Linked DNA regions of Oryzias latipes. Each later gene encodes a partner of the first gene's protein in a complex. Links are inferred from orthologs where the notes say so. Each region holds a gene or a part of one and is shown in the gene's direction. Other genes may lie near its edges.

The links.
Region 2: ahi1 (region 1) and tmem231 share a complex: the UniProt entries of both Homo sapiens proteins name them as parts of the tectonic-like complex. The link is inferred for Oryzias latipes from reciprocal best matches to the Homo sapiens genes AHI1 and TMEM231.
Region 3: ahi1 (region 1) and tmem107 share a complex: the UniProt entries of both Homo sapiens proteins name them as parts of the tectonic-like complex. The link is inferred for Oryzias latipes from reciprocal best matches to the Homo sapiens genes AHI1 and TMEM107.

Annotation. Positions count from the first base shown.
Region 1 is NC_019880.2:267,485-270,550, forward strand, and holds the end of ahi1 (jouberin), read left to right. Parts: intron 1-1,723; exon of another isoform or gene 1,724-1,945; coding exon 1,946-2,034; exon of another isoform or gene 2,035-2,126; intron 2,127-2,133; coding exon 2,134-2,302; 3' UTR 2,303-2,490; downstream 2,491-3,066. Other genes in the region: MFS-type transporter SLC18B1, read right to left, coding at 2,671-2,710, 2,779-2,825, 2,949-3,042. UniProt on the Homo sapiens protein: Involved in vesicle trafficking and required for ciliogenesis, formation of primary non-motile cilium, and recruitment of RAB8A to the basal body of primary cilium.
Region 2 is NC_019864.2:27,557,521-27,561,275, forward strand, and holds the start of tmem231 (transmembrane protein 231), read left to right. Parts: upstream 1-959; 5' UTR 960-1,238; coding exon 1,239-1,377; intron 1,378-3,069; coding exon 3,070-3,236; intron 3,237-3,755. Other genes in the region: gamma-aminobutyric acid receptor-associated protein-like 2, read right to left, coding at 310-343. UniProt on the Homo sapiens protein: Transmembrane component of the tectonic-like complex, a complex localized at the transition zone of primary cilia and acting as a barrier that prevents diffusion of transmembrane proteins between the cilia and plasma membranes.
Region 3 is NC_019874.2:18,549,757-18,553,511, forward strand, and holds tmem107 (transmembrane protein 107), read left to right. Parts: upstream 1-1,349; 5' UTR 1,350-1,656; coding exon 1,657-1,743; intron 1,744-2,073; coding exon 2,074-2,141; intron 2,142-2,222; coding exon 2,223-2,323; intron 2,324-2,564; coding exon of another isoform or gene 2,565-2,661; intron 2,662-2,737; coding exon 2,738-2,834; intron 2,835-2,997; coding exon 2,998-3,067; 3' UTR 3,068-3,419; downstream 3,420-3,755. Other genes in the region: tripartite motif-containing protein 46, read right to left, coding at 1-88, 799-858. UniProt on the Homo sapiens protein: Plays a role in cilia formation and embryonic patterning. Requires for normal Sonic hedgehog (Shh) signaling in the neural tube and acts in combination with GLI2 and GLI3 to pattern ventral and intermediate neuronal cell types.

The DNA of each region.
Region 1 (3,066 bases):
AGGTGGCAGTAAAGCTGCTTAACTACAACTCTTTCTAGGATTTTAGAAATAAAGGGCAGGTTTGATATCGGTCTATAGTTGGCCAAGATGCTAGGATCCAAACTGGGCTTTTTCAGTAGAGGTTTAACAACTGCATATTTAAAAGACTGTGGCACGTAACCCGTTTCCAGAGAGGTATTTATCATTGTTAATATGGGATCATTAATTAGGGGAAAAGTTTCTTTAAAAAGTCTAGTGGGAATTGGGTCTAACAGACACGTTGAGGATTTGGAGGACGTAATAATTGATGTTATTTCCGCTTGATCCACAGCAGTGAAGCAGTCCAATGTTACAGAGGTTTCTATGGATGCCTCCATTTCTACCGCTTCAGCCTGTTCTGGGCTGATAGTAGGAATAACTTGATTTAACTTATGTCTAATATTTGAGATTTTACTATCGAAAAATGTAAGAAAATCATCAGAGCTGAGAGAAACAGGAACATGTGGTTCTACTGAGCTCTGACTGCGAGTTAATTTAGCTATAGTGCTAAAAAGAAATCTTGGATTGTTTCCATTCTCTGATATTAAGGTTGAATAGTACTGGCTTCTAGCTCTACGCAGAGCTTTTTTATAATTTAATAGGCTATGTTTCCAGGTATTCAGAGACTGCTCTGAACCGGAGCGGCGCCATTCTCTTTCCAACTTACGGGTTTCTTGTTTAAGAGAACGAGTTTCAGCGTTAAACCACGGTGCTACTCGGTTTTGTCTAACAAACTTAGGTTTCAAGGGGGCAACAACATGGAGTGTACTCCTGAGGGCTTGTAAGGCATCATTAACAAAGTGGTCATTTATACTAGGACTGATACTATGGGAGCTGGTCTCAGAGTATTTTCTCAGAATATCACTAAGTACTGGCTGAACTGTGTGTTTAAACTCAGACACAGAACGGTCAGTTAAGGTTCTTCTAAGCTGTTTCTTATTCACTGGGACAGAAGGATGTTCCAGTGTAAACTGGAAGGTAATCAGAAAGTGATCAGAAATGATGGGGTTAAGAGGAAGGACACTCAGCTGGCTGATCTCTATCCCATGGGTTAGAACAAGGTCCAGGGTGTGCTTATGACAGTGAGTGGGTTCATTCACACTTTACAAACACATTACAAACTCCCCTCAACAGGAGTACATTTGGTTTTGGTTCCTGGAATGTTAAGACGCTTCCATTAATAATCAAATGATCCAGCAGGATCACGCCCCCCTGCTGGCCGAGCGGGAAGTGCAACATTTTTATATATGATATATGATATATTTATCATATCATCATATTTTATATGATGTCTGGGTGGTTCTGGACTGGTCCGGACCCTTTGAGAACTTCCCATCAGGCAGTTAAAGTGGTGATTACAGAAGTAACAAATGATAGATCTGACCGTTAAAGATCAACCACAGACCATCGGCTCTGCATCCAGCCATGAACCGGTTTAACATATATTAATATATATATTGAACATATTCTGTAATCTGTTGGCGAGACCGTAGTTTTCTGATTCAAAGACCCACTCCGATGGCATCGGTGATTTAACATGTACTGGTGGCCTTTTCTCACAATGGAGAACTTGCATAAAAGAAGATTAAAATGCATATCTGAGTATTTCTATATTCAAATTGTTGAGCAGCAAGTGAAATGGGCGGGGCCACAAGCTCCCTGCTCGCTCCGTTCTGGGAAGCCTTTGAAAACAGACCAGAAGATGGTCAGTTTCTTTTTTTATTAGACATGAACCAAACTCTGCCTTCTCTGCTCATGTTAATGCAAACTAAAGTATTGACTGACTTCATGCTGAACAAAGACCATCTTCCTGAAATCCGGCTTATATTTAACAGGAAGACGGCCGATCCGGATCATTCAGGAATGTCATGATCTAAAGACGGACTTTGTCTGAACTGTTCCTCTCTGACCCCCTCCTGGTTTTCAGGTCTCTGCTGCTGTCAGCTCGTCCGGAGAGCTCAGGTTTCTGTCCGAACCCACTCTGTCAGACACTGAACCAGAACTGACTGACGCCAGGTAAGAAGCTCCTATATCCTCCAGAACCACACAGATCCAGTTACCCCAACACAAACATGTCTGGCTGAGTTCCTGAAGGATCCATTTCTTTCCTGAAAGCAGAACCAGAAGAAAGAAGAAGGTGAAAAAGCCTGGAGTTCCTGTGTCTTCATCTCAGACTACAGTTTCTGACGCAGATACTTCTGGGTCGACCAGAACCATAAGAGGCAGACCTCTGCCACCGAGACCAGCGGGGAGGTCCAACAGGGCCTTTGAGGCCGACACGTAAACTGTGGACAAACCCAGAGAGCCGTTCTGATGTCACTAATACTCCACAGCATTATTGCTGCGTTCTCCGTCAGAAATTACCCAAAGATCTTTGGTGTTTGAGGCTGCAGGTGTTTGTGTGAGGAACAAGAACATTGTGTTCAGGAAAGTTTTATTTTGTACTATTTACAGTAAAAACCCGTGAAACAAGCGGCTCCGTGTGAACAGGATTCCTGTCCGCTCTCTGGAGGTTTTTGGGGGAATAATCCCGCTCACCAGACCTAAGCTGTTAAGCAGGAAAAGCTCCGGACAAAGGCCCGTTCTGGCAGGAATGGCGTTCAGATCTTCTCTCCGTGAGCAGAGCGGCTGGCCCCGCCCCTAGATGTTTCCTCAGTCCAGCAAAGGAGTGCTTTCTGCTGTTTGCTGCACGCTGCAAAGACAGAAACTCTCAGACTTCAGGTTGATGAGGAAGATTCCTGATGATGGATCTGACGTTACCTCCCCCGCCGGCGCTCCCAGAGGGAGTACATCCCCAGGAGGAGGGCCTGTGGACAGAGACAGCTTCACTGCACAAAGGGTTAATGATTGATCAGAGCTAATCACATTCATGACTCCTTCAAAGTGGGTCAAAGATGAGGACCCACCCCCGCAGAGTCAGGAGTACTCACAGCCAGAAGGCCCACGCCCCCCTGGATGGTGGCGGCCCACTCAAAGGTCAGATGTTGGGTGATAAGGCCGCCCACAATGGGGCCGTAAAACATTCTGTAAGAGACGACCACACTTCAG
Region 2 (3,755 bases), on another chromosome or scaffold:
TTTTTTAAGTAATGCATGCAAAATATTGAAATTAAAGCAATACTAGATGATGATGCAATGCTTTAAATGGCGTTTCTCTTGAGGTGATCCTAAACAACCTGCAGCAAATGCGTGTTAGCATGATCATGCCAAGCTAAGCAGGATCGATTTCCGGCAGGCTCCTGCGAAAACCCCGCGTTAGTGTGTCTGTGATGGGTGGTGGAGCCACATCGAAGGACACACAGTCCGCGGAGCAAAAAGGAAAAACACGCGACATGAAAAGAGGACATCTCTCTCTGGTTTCATAACAACAACCCAAACCCTTTTTACCGAGGGAATGGTCCTCTTTAAACATCCATTTCATCTTTGCTGGATTCCCGCACTGATGCGTGACGGCAGGGGCGAAAGGCGGGCTTCACGATCAGCTAACCCTGTTGGGGGTTCAAACTTGCAGAAATCCTGCCCAAAGCGACCAAAACAAAACGTCAACAAAGAGCTTCTGTTGCTCAGCTGTCCGTCTCGCGGAGAGGTGACGTCACCGTCTGGCTGTTGGTGCTCCTGGTGCGTTCAAGTGCGCCCAGCAGTGCTCGGTCCAAAAAAATCCTTGTAGTTGGGGCTGTTGACAGACACGCATTAATATCTAGTTTCTACATTAATATCCTTCTAGTTTAATGAAAACAACACCAAAGAAATACAAAATTAATACAGTCAGACTGAATAAACAATGAAACAAAAATGATACATTGAAATGCCTTAGAACGGTCATGGGCATTTATTATTAGAAACACAATTGTATAAAAAATTTTAATGCTTTTATTTGAGCTTTTATTTAAAATTAATAGTTCCCATAACAACGTAAAAAGATAATAATATATGGGAATTTTCCAGGCATGAAATGAAATAACTACTTTTGTGCTTTTACTTAATTTCAGGACCACAGAAGAGTTTCAGCATTCCCCACAGTTCATGAATGCATCCTGAACCATGGTAGCCATGGAAACCGAGGGACGCTGCAGAAATATGGCGGGGGGCTCGTTTCCTTACATGTTGCAGGGGCTAGCAAAATAGCATTTCAACGCGAAAAGTTATCAGAAAAATATGAATTTACTGGCGTTTAGAATCCAGAGGAAGATTTTTTGGAGTTTCTTAACGACCAGTTTAGGTAGTATCGACATTTTTACGCCGGTAATCATTTAGTCCGCTACTAGGTTAGCATCTCCAGCTGTAGCCTTACAGCTAGCTGTCTTTACACCGAACGTATGGCTTTCTACGAAGTGTACTCTCATCCGGCTGTAATTCGGTACAAAACCAGTGTTTGCACAAAGGCTACGCTGTTCCTGGTTGTTGTTTTGTGCCTAACCTACATCCCACCTCTGCTTGTTGCTTATAGGAGTCAAGGTACAGTATATATATCGAGGCTTTAAAGTGTCCATTTATTTCATTTTGAACAAAAGAATATATTATGTTTTTGTTAAAGTCTTTGTTTATGCTAGAATATAAAAAAAGGATTTTTATTATCTATATTACTTTACACGTTACAAAGCCTATGAGTAAAGCCAGGGCCTTTTAAATAAAGTTTTATTAGTCCAGTAAAAATAACAAATTAATAACATTTCAGCAATATTTCATTCCATTTTTACTCAGATTTATTTGATTTAGACAACAACTATTCTCTTTGAATGCATATGAATAAGCTTTTATATTAAATAACCCAAGTTTTTACAACTTTTGCTTTAAGTCTAGATATGAGTTGTTTTCAAAATGACTAAATCCATTTGTGTCTGTTGAAAGATTAGCCTTAAATCTGTTGGATGTGTTTTGATTTGATTGATGGATTTCATGCAGCTTTCAGCTCTAAAATAAAACAAAATATATACATATATATATGTGTGTATGTATATATAGTATCATTTTAAAATATTAGTTCCTAAACTGGTTTGAGAAAAATAAAATGACAGAAAATGTTTTTATACACTTGACATTACAATGTATCATAAATAGGTATATCTACACCTATTCATACAGTACACACGTGTGCAATACATTGAATCCATAAAATATTATGTTTTTTAAATAGAGTTTGATTAATTGGGTGGGAAAGAAGTGAATTTATAATCCCACACCTATTAAATTTTACCAAACTTTTTTTTTTTTGACATGTTTACAATTTTCTTCCAAATAGGTGGCCGAGCCTTTTCAGTGAATGGGGATCGCTGCAGTGGGATCTTCTGGGTCTGGTTCTTGCATCTGGGGAGTCCTGTAGTGTATTCTGTGAACTTGGGTGGGGCTCACTTGTGAGGACGGTTTATAATTTCCCCACAAAGCCGGATTTCTACTTTCTACTTTGCATCATTTTAGTGAATCATTTGATGCACTACTATAGTGTGCGTGCATGTGTGCGTGCATGTGTGTGTGCGGCGGGGGGCATTTTATGCATTGTATACATATTTTTTGTCTTGCTTTTGGTTTTTTAAAATTGGATTATGTTTTTATGTAAAACACTTTAAGTAACTCAAGTTGGAAAAACTGCTCTATAAATAAAGTTTTATTTGATTTGAATGTTTCAAATCCATTACAGGAACAGAATTTACGTTGTGTTATTTTCATGCTGGCTTTCATTGCACATTAGTGCCTTTGCTTGTAATACAACAGTAACCCATATTACCATTCAAAAATGCCCTTATTAATGCTGTGGAACAAATGTGACAAAAATGCTGCTATTTTGAACTGAATTATTCGAACATATTTGGTAAATGATGAATTATGCTTTTAAAACGTCTTCTGTAATTTTTAAAAATGGGTTCAAATGTAAAAAATGCCATGGAAAAGTCAGAAAAGTTGTTGAATTCTGGGTACATCAGATGGACATGTTTTCTGCATGACAAACCTTGTCAAGAAGCAAATTCCATTCCAAAAAAAAAAAATGAAGCAAATTCTATAGGAGATTGTGGGAAGTTTGGCTGAAGGATTCTAATAGAAATCTTATGCTATTTTATGTTTGGTTTTTGGTTTGATGGTAACATAGAATTAGAAGAAATCTCAACGTCAAAAAGTTCCTAAAACCTTATAGTTTTGTTTTTTCAATTTCAGGTTTCTGGTTAAAGCGAAGCACGTATGAAGAACAGCCGGTTGTGAGGTTTCAGTACCAGACTCTGATGGTTGCAGCCACCGGCACTCAAGGGGACTATGTGGCCTGGAGTACCTTCCCACACCTCAACAACATGCTGGGGCCCAACCTGCGGATCCCTGCCGTCTCTGTGAGAACACATTTGTGTATCACTGATATGTGTGACACTTTTTCAAGTCTTAAGAACCACATTCCTATGTCATTGTGTAAGCTGCATTTCAAAGCATTGCTCCTGTTGCCATGGCAATCTTTCATTGATTAGCCCTGATGAAAAGCTGGTCCATGCTTTTTGTTTCTATACTTTAAACCAAAACCTTAATGTGTCTAAAATATTTCTTTAAGACAAATATCTATTACCAGAAAAGTATGTTGCTGTGCGTTTACACACAAACCCATTTACCTAAAAATGATCAGAGTACAGACAAAGAGAAAGTACTTCTGTAGATCCACACACAGTTTTTGAAGAAAATATGACCAATAAGGTGTTAACACTGTGAGAAACGAGTTTTTTTTTTAAACTCAAGTCCACTTAGAATACTTACTGGCCCGCTGGGATCTTTGGCCCTTTTGAAATATAAGGTTTGTTCTTAAATCACATCACATTTTTGCTATACAGGCAAGCGTTTCAACCAAATGAACCCAGAAAGTT
Region 3 (3,755 bases), on another chromosome or scaffold:
TGTGCTGGCATGGCAGGAGGACGGGCTGCTTCACGATCTCGTCACACACCGGGCACAGCAGCTCCTTTTCCATCATCTTCATGTTGGACTGGAGAAGAGGGAAGAGGAAAGTTCAAGAAGACAACAGAGCTGCGACTTGATTTAAAGAAAGGAAATGATGGCAGTGATGAAGGAAATATCTAGATGAACTCTGGTTGTGTGCCGTTTATTGCACAGGACAAGAAGGAAAGAAGAACGTAACCTCCATGATGCTTAGCAGTCCTCCTGTGATTGCTTCACTGCTTCCTATTTCTAAGAGTAAATTGGCTGAGACATTATTTTTAATAAAAAAAAACAATTCAAACAATGCAGAAACATTCTGTTTGCCATTGATTGTTGCTTCTTTTTTTTTTAGGTTGTGGTGGCCCCTTTCCATTACTGCAGCCACAAGGCGCGGCATCCGGTTTCTATGACAACGCACATCTTCCTCTGGCCCTGATTTTATGCTATTTGGCAACATTCTTAGGTTCTTATATCTATTAAAAATGAATTATGTGGTCGTTGCGACTGTATATTTTCTATTGCCATTCACCACCTGACTGTGGCTTTCAGCCTATTCCGGGTTATTAAAGCGATGACAAAACATGTTTGTAAACGGTAGAAAAATGCTCCGCATTCTTATTTCATAGCCATGATTGTCCAGATCAACATACTATCAATAAAGCAAGTTATATGTAAGACTACATTATTGTTTTTCCTCTCTTAGATGTAGCACGTTTGAAATGGCTATATTAGAATAAACCGGCGTCGCACACTTACACTGATACGAACCAGCGCGTCCATGACAGAGGTAAAGGTTTGGAAGTCCTCTTCTGCCATGCTCTGTTGTTCTGATGTGCACGCTTCCAAAGAAAAAATGTTTCGTTTAAAACGATTATTAAGTGGGTGTGAAAAATAATCCCCGGCTGTTTTGTAGCAAACACTAGGCCCTGACGTGCACAGATAGCTGTGCTTGAGGTGTGCTGCTCAATCTCTGTCGTCTATCCAAATGCGAATGGAATGGTTGCTGAAACTGGTGGAGGGGGGTGGGGGCGTTTTGCCCCAAAATGTTAGCTTTATCGGGGAGCGTTTAAAAAACATTCTTTTAGAAAATAAAAACAAAAAAAAATCGGCTTTTCTACGTTCTTTAGATACGCGAGGCTATGTTCATCCTACAATCACACGTTAACTTTGTCATGTTTTATTTTTGTGTGTGTGTTGTCGTTAGATGCTAGTGTTGTGTGCTGCTTAACAACAAAGGCGATGGGTCGCATCCACTTCCCTTTTGTGTCCGGAACGTTTGGAAGGTGGATGTTTTTACGGGTCGCAATATTGGATGCACCCAGCCACTGGCTGTTGTAGCAACCCAATGCGACACCGGGGTGTGTTAAATTTCTATGTATAATTTTGTTTAGAAAAAAGACTATTAAAGAGTAAAATTTTAATTTTATAAGTTCATTGGCTTTAAAAATGCTTGATTATCATTTTTGGATTATTTATTGAACCGCGGTTGCGTTGATATACCGCGAACCAGGAGCGACGACTGTTGTGTGAGATCTGTGAACTCCAACGTGACCGTTTGGCTTTAAAATTTAGAATTTTCTAGCATTTCTGACACTTCTGTGAACCAGAAACAACATGTCTTCTATTAGCAGTCTAATTCCTGCGCGGTTTCTCACCATCATAGCTCACCTTGTCATCGTCATCACAATCTTTTGGTCCAGGGTAAGTAAGGACAGTCCGTGTTGTTGTTAAAGCTTGAAGGACGACTCAAGCTGCCATAGAAATATTTTTTATTATTATTATTAATATTATTATTGTTTTTTGTAAATATCAATAACGTGTAGTTTGTGATTTTAAAATAAAGAACAAAAGTTTTTAAAAAAATCGTGAAATAGAAATAAATTCTACTCCACAAAATATTTTTCCTAAACTGCAGAAATATAGATTTTTGTTTGCTGCAAAAAGTTTATTTCTCCTTTTTTTTATAAACAATTTTTTATCTAGAAATGTTACCATAATCGGCTATTTTATGTATTTGTTTCTGTTTTCTAGGAGAATAATGTGAAGGCATGTTTGCCTTTGGAGTTTACTCAGGAGCAGTATGACACAGAAGACAGAAAGTAAGTAACAAATGATTGAAAATATATGAAAAAATCTTGAATGCTCACATTCTAACCCGCATCCCTTTGGTTATTGTTCAGGTTGGTTGTAGCCTTGTCAGCCACTCTTGGTCTGTTTGCTATCGAGCTAGCAGGCTTCTTTTCAGGAGTCTCCATGTTCAGTTCCAGCCAGGGTCTTCTGTGTATCCTTTATACTGACAGTGATGATTCATATTTGTCATGGTCATTGATACTGAACTATTGATTCACAATTGTGAGGAAAATAAAGATTTTCAGATATTGTCTTTTCTCCAGCAGCTCTAGCTTCTAAATGAGCATCTGGTTTATAGCAGAAAACATGATTTACAAGAATAAATGAATGGATTAAACAATGCTTATTAGTCATTAGTTACAATTCCGTAACTAAGAACTTGTCTGCTATAGCAACAGGAGTCCATGCCAGTGCCTCTGTGGCTTTGCTCTTTTTTCTGTTTGAGCAGTGGGAGTGTGACATCTACTGGTGGATCTTTGCTATTTGCAGGTTAGTCTTTTGACGCCTAGCAAATCCGTTTTATCCTTTTTTCCCCAAAGTTTTCCCTGACAGCTGCTCCTTTCAGCATTAGCTGTCCACTGCTCCGCATCCGTATCTTTGTCTTTCTTTGTGTTTGAACAATGGGAATGCTGGACTTACTGGGTGATTTTTGCCACCTGCAGGTTGGTTCGCCTGCATGCTTGTTTTCAATGAATAGTTGGCTTTTAGAAAGACAGCATACTGTAACAGTCACTCTTATTTTGAAGGAATTTGAATGCATTTAAGGATTGTTCTTTTATCTTTCTGGATTTCTATTAATTTCTTTTTCTATTTCTCATCTTTCAGTGTCTTGCCAGCTTTTGTGGAGATTCTTCTGTTTATTGCGGTTTTTGGACTGAAGAAGAAGCCGTTATGAAGAGGAGTTGATTCAGATTGAATGGATGAACGCTTCCATTTGTTGCTACAAGACAGTAGCTGCAGAAATTCAGTTATTAGATCACCTTAAAAAGGGGCCAACATTGTTAGAATTTCTTCAGCAGGCATCAATAGATCCAGAAAGAATGTTTTTTTTTTCAATCTTTGTAAATATATTTTGAACTATGTAATTACAAAAAATAATTATACTATGTTGTTTGTTTTGAATAAGTTGGAGAGTTAGCAAAAGTTTAAAATGTAAACCAAGTTTTTTGTTGTCAGTAGTGTATTTGTTTCTCATGTAAAGCTTTTCAACGCTAAATCCAAAATACATTTATACTTTTTTAAATAAGTCTTATTTCTCTCATTGTATCTATCTTTATCCTCATTTGGTGACTTAATTGTCAGAGAAATATTAACCAAACTGAGCCAGAAGATAAATTAAAGTCGGGCGACAAGAGTATCCAGAACCGCAAGGTTACAAAACATGAAACAGTAACTTCATTTTTGTGCAGCTATCAAAAAAAAGAAACAGTATTTAAAATTGATTTAGGGAGGAAAAATCCTTTCCTAAATTATTAATGTAGTGAGACATGTTGTAATATAGAAGAATTATGTCTATGAAGACTCTCTTTCATCCAGGTTGATTCCATCATAGTAGTAAGTTTAGGGGCTGTCCTCTTAGTTTT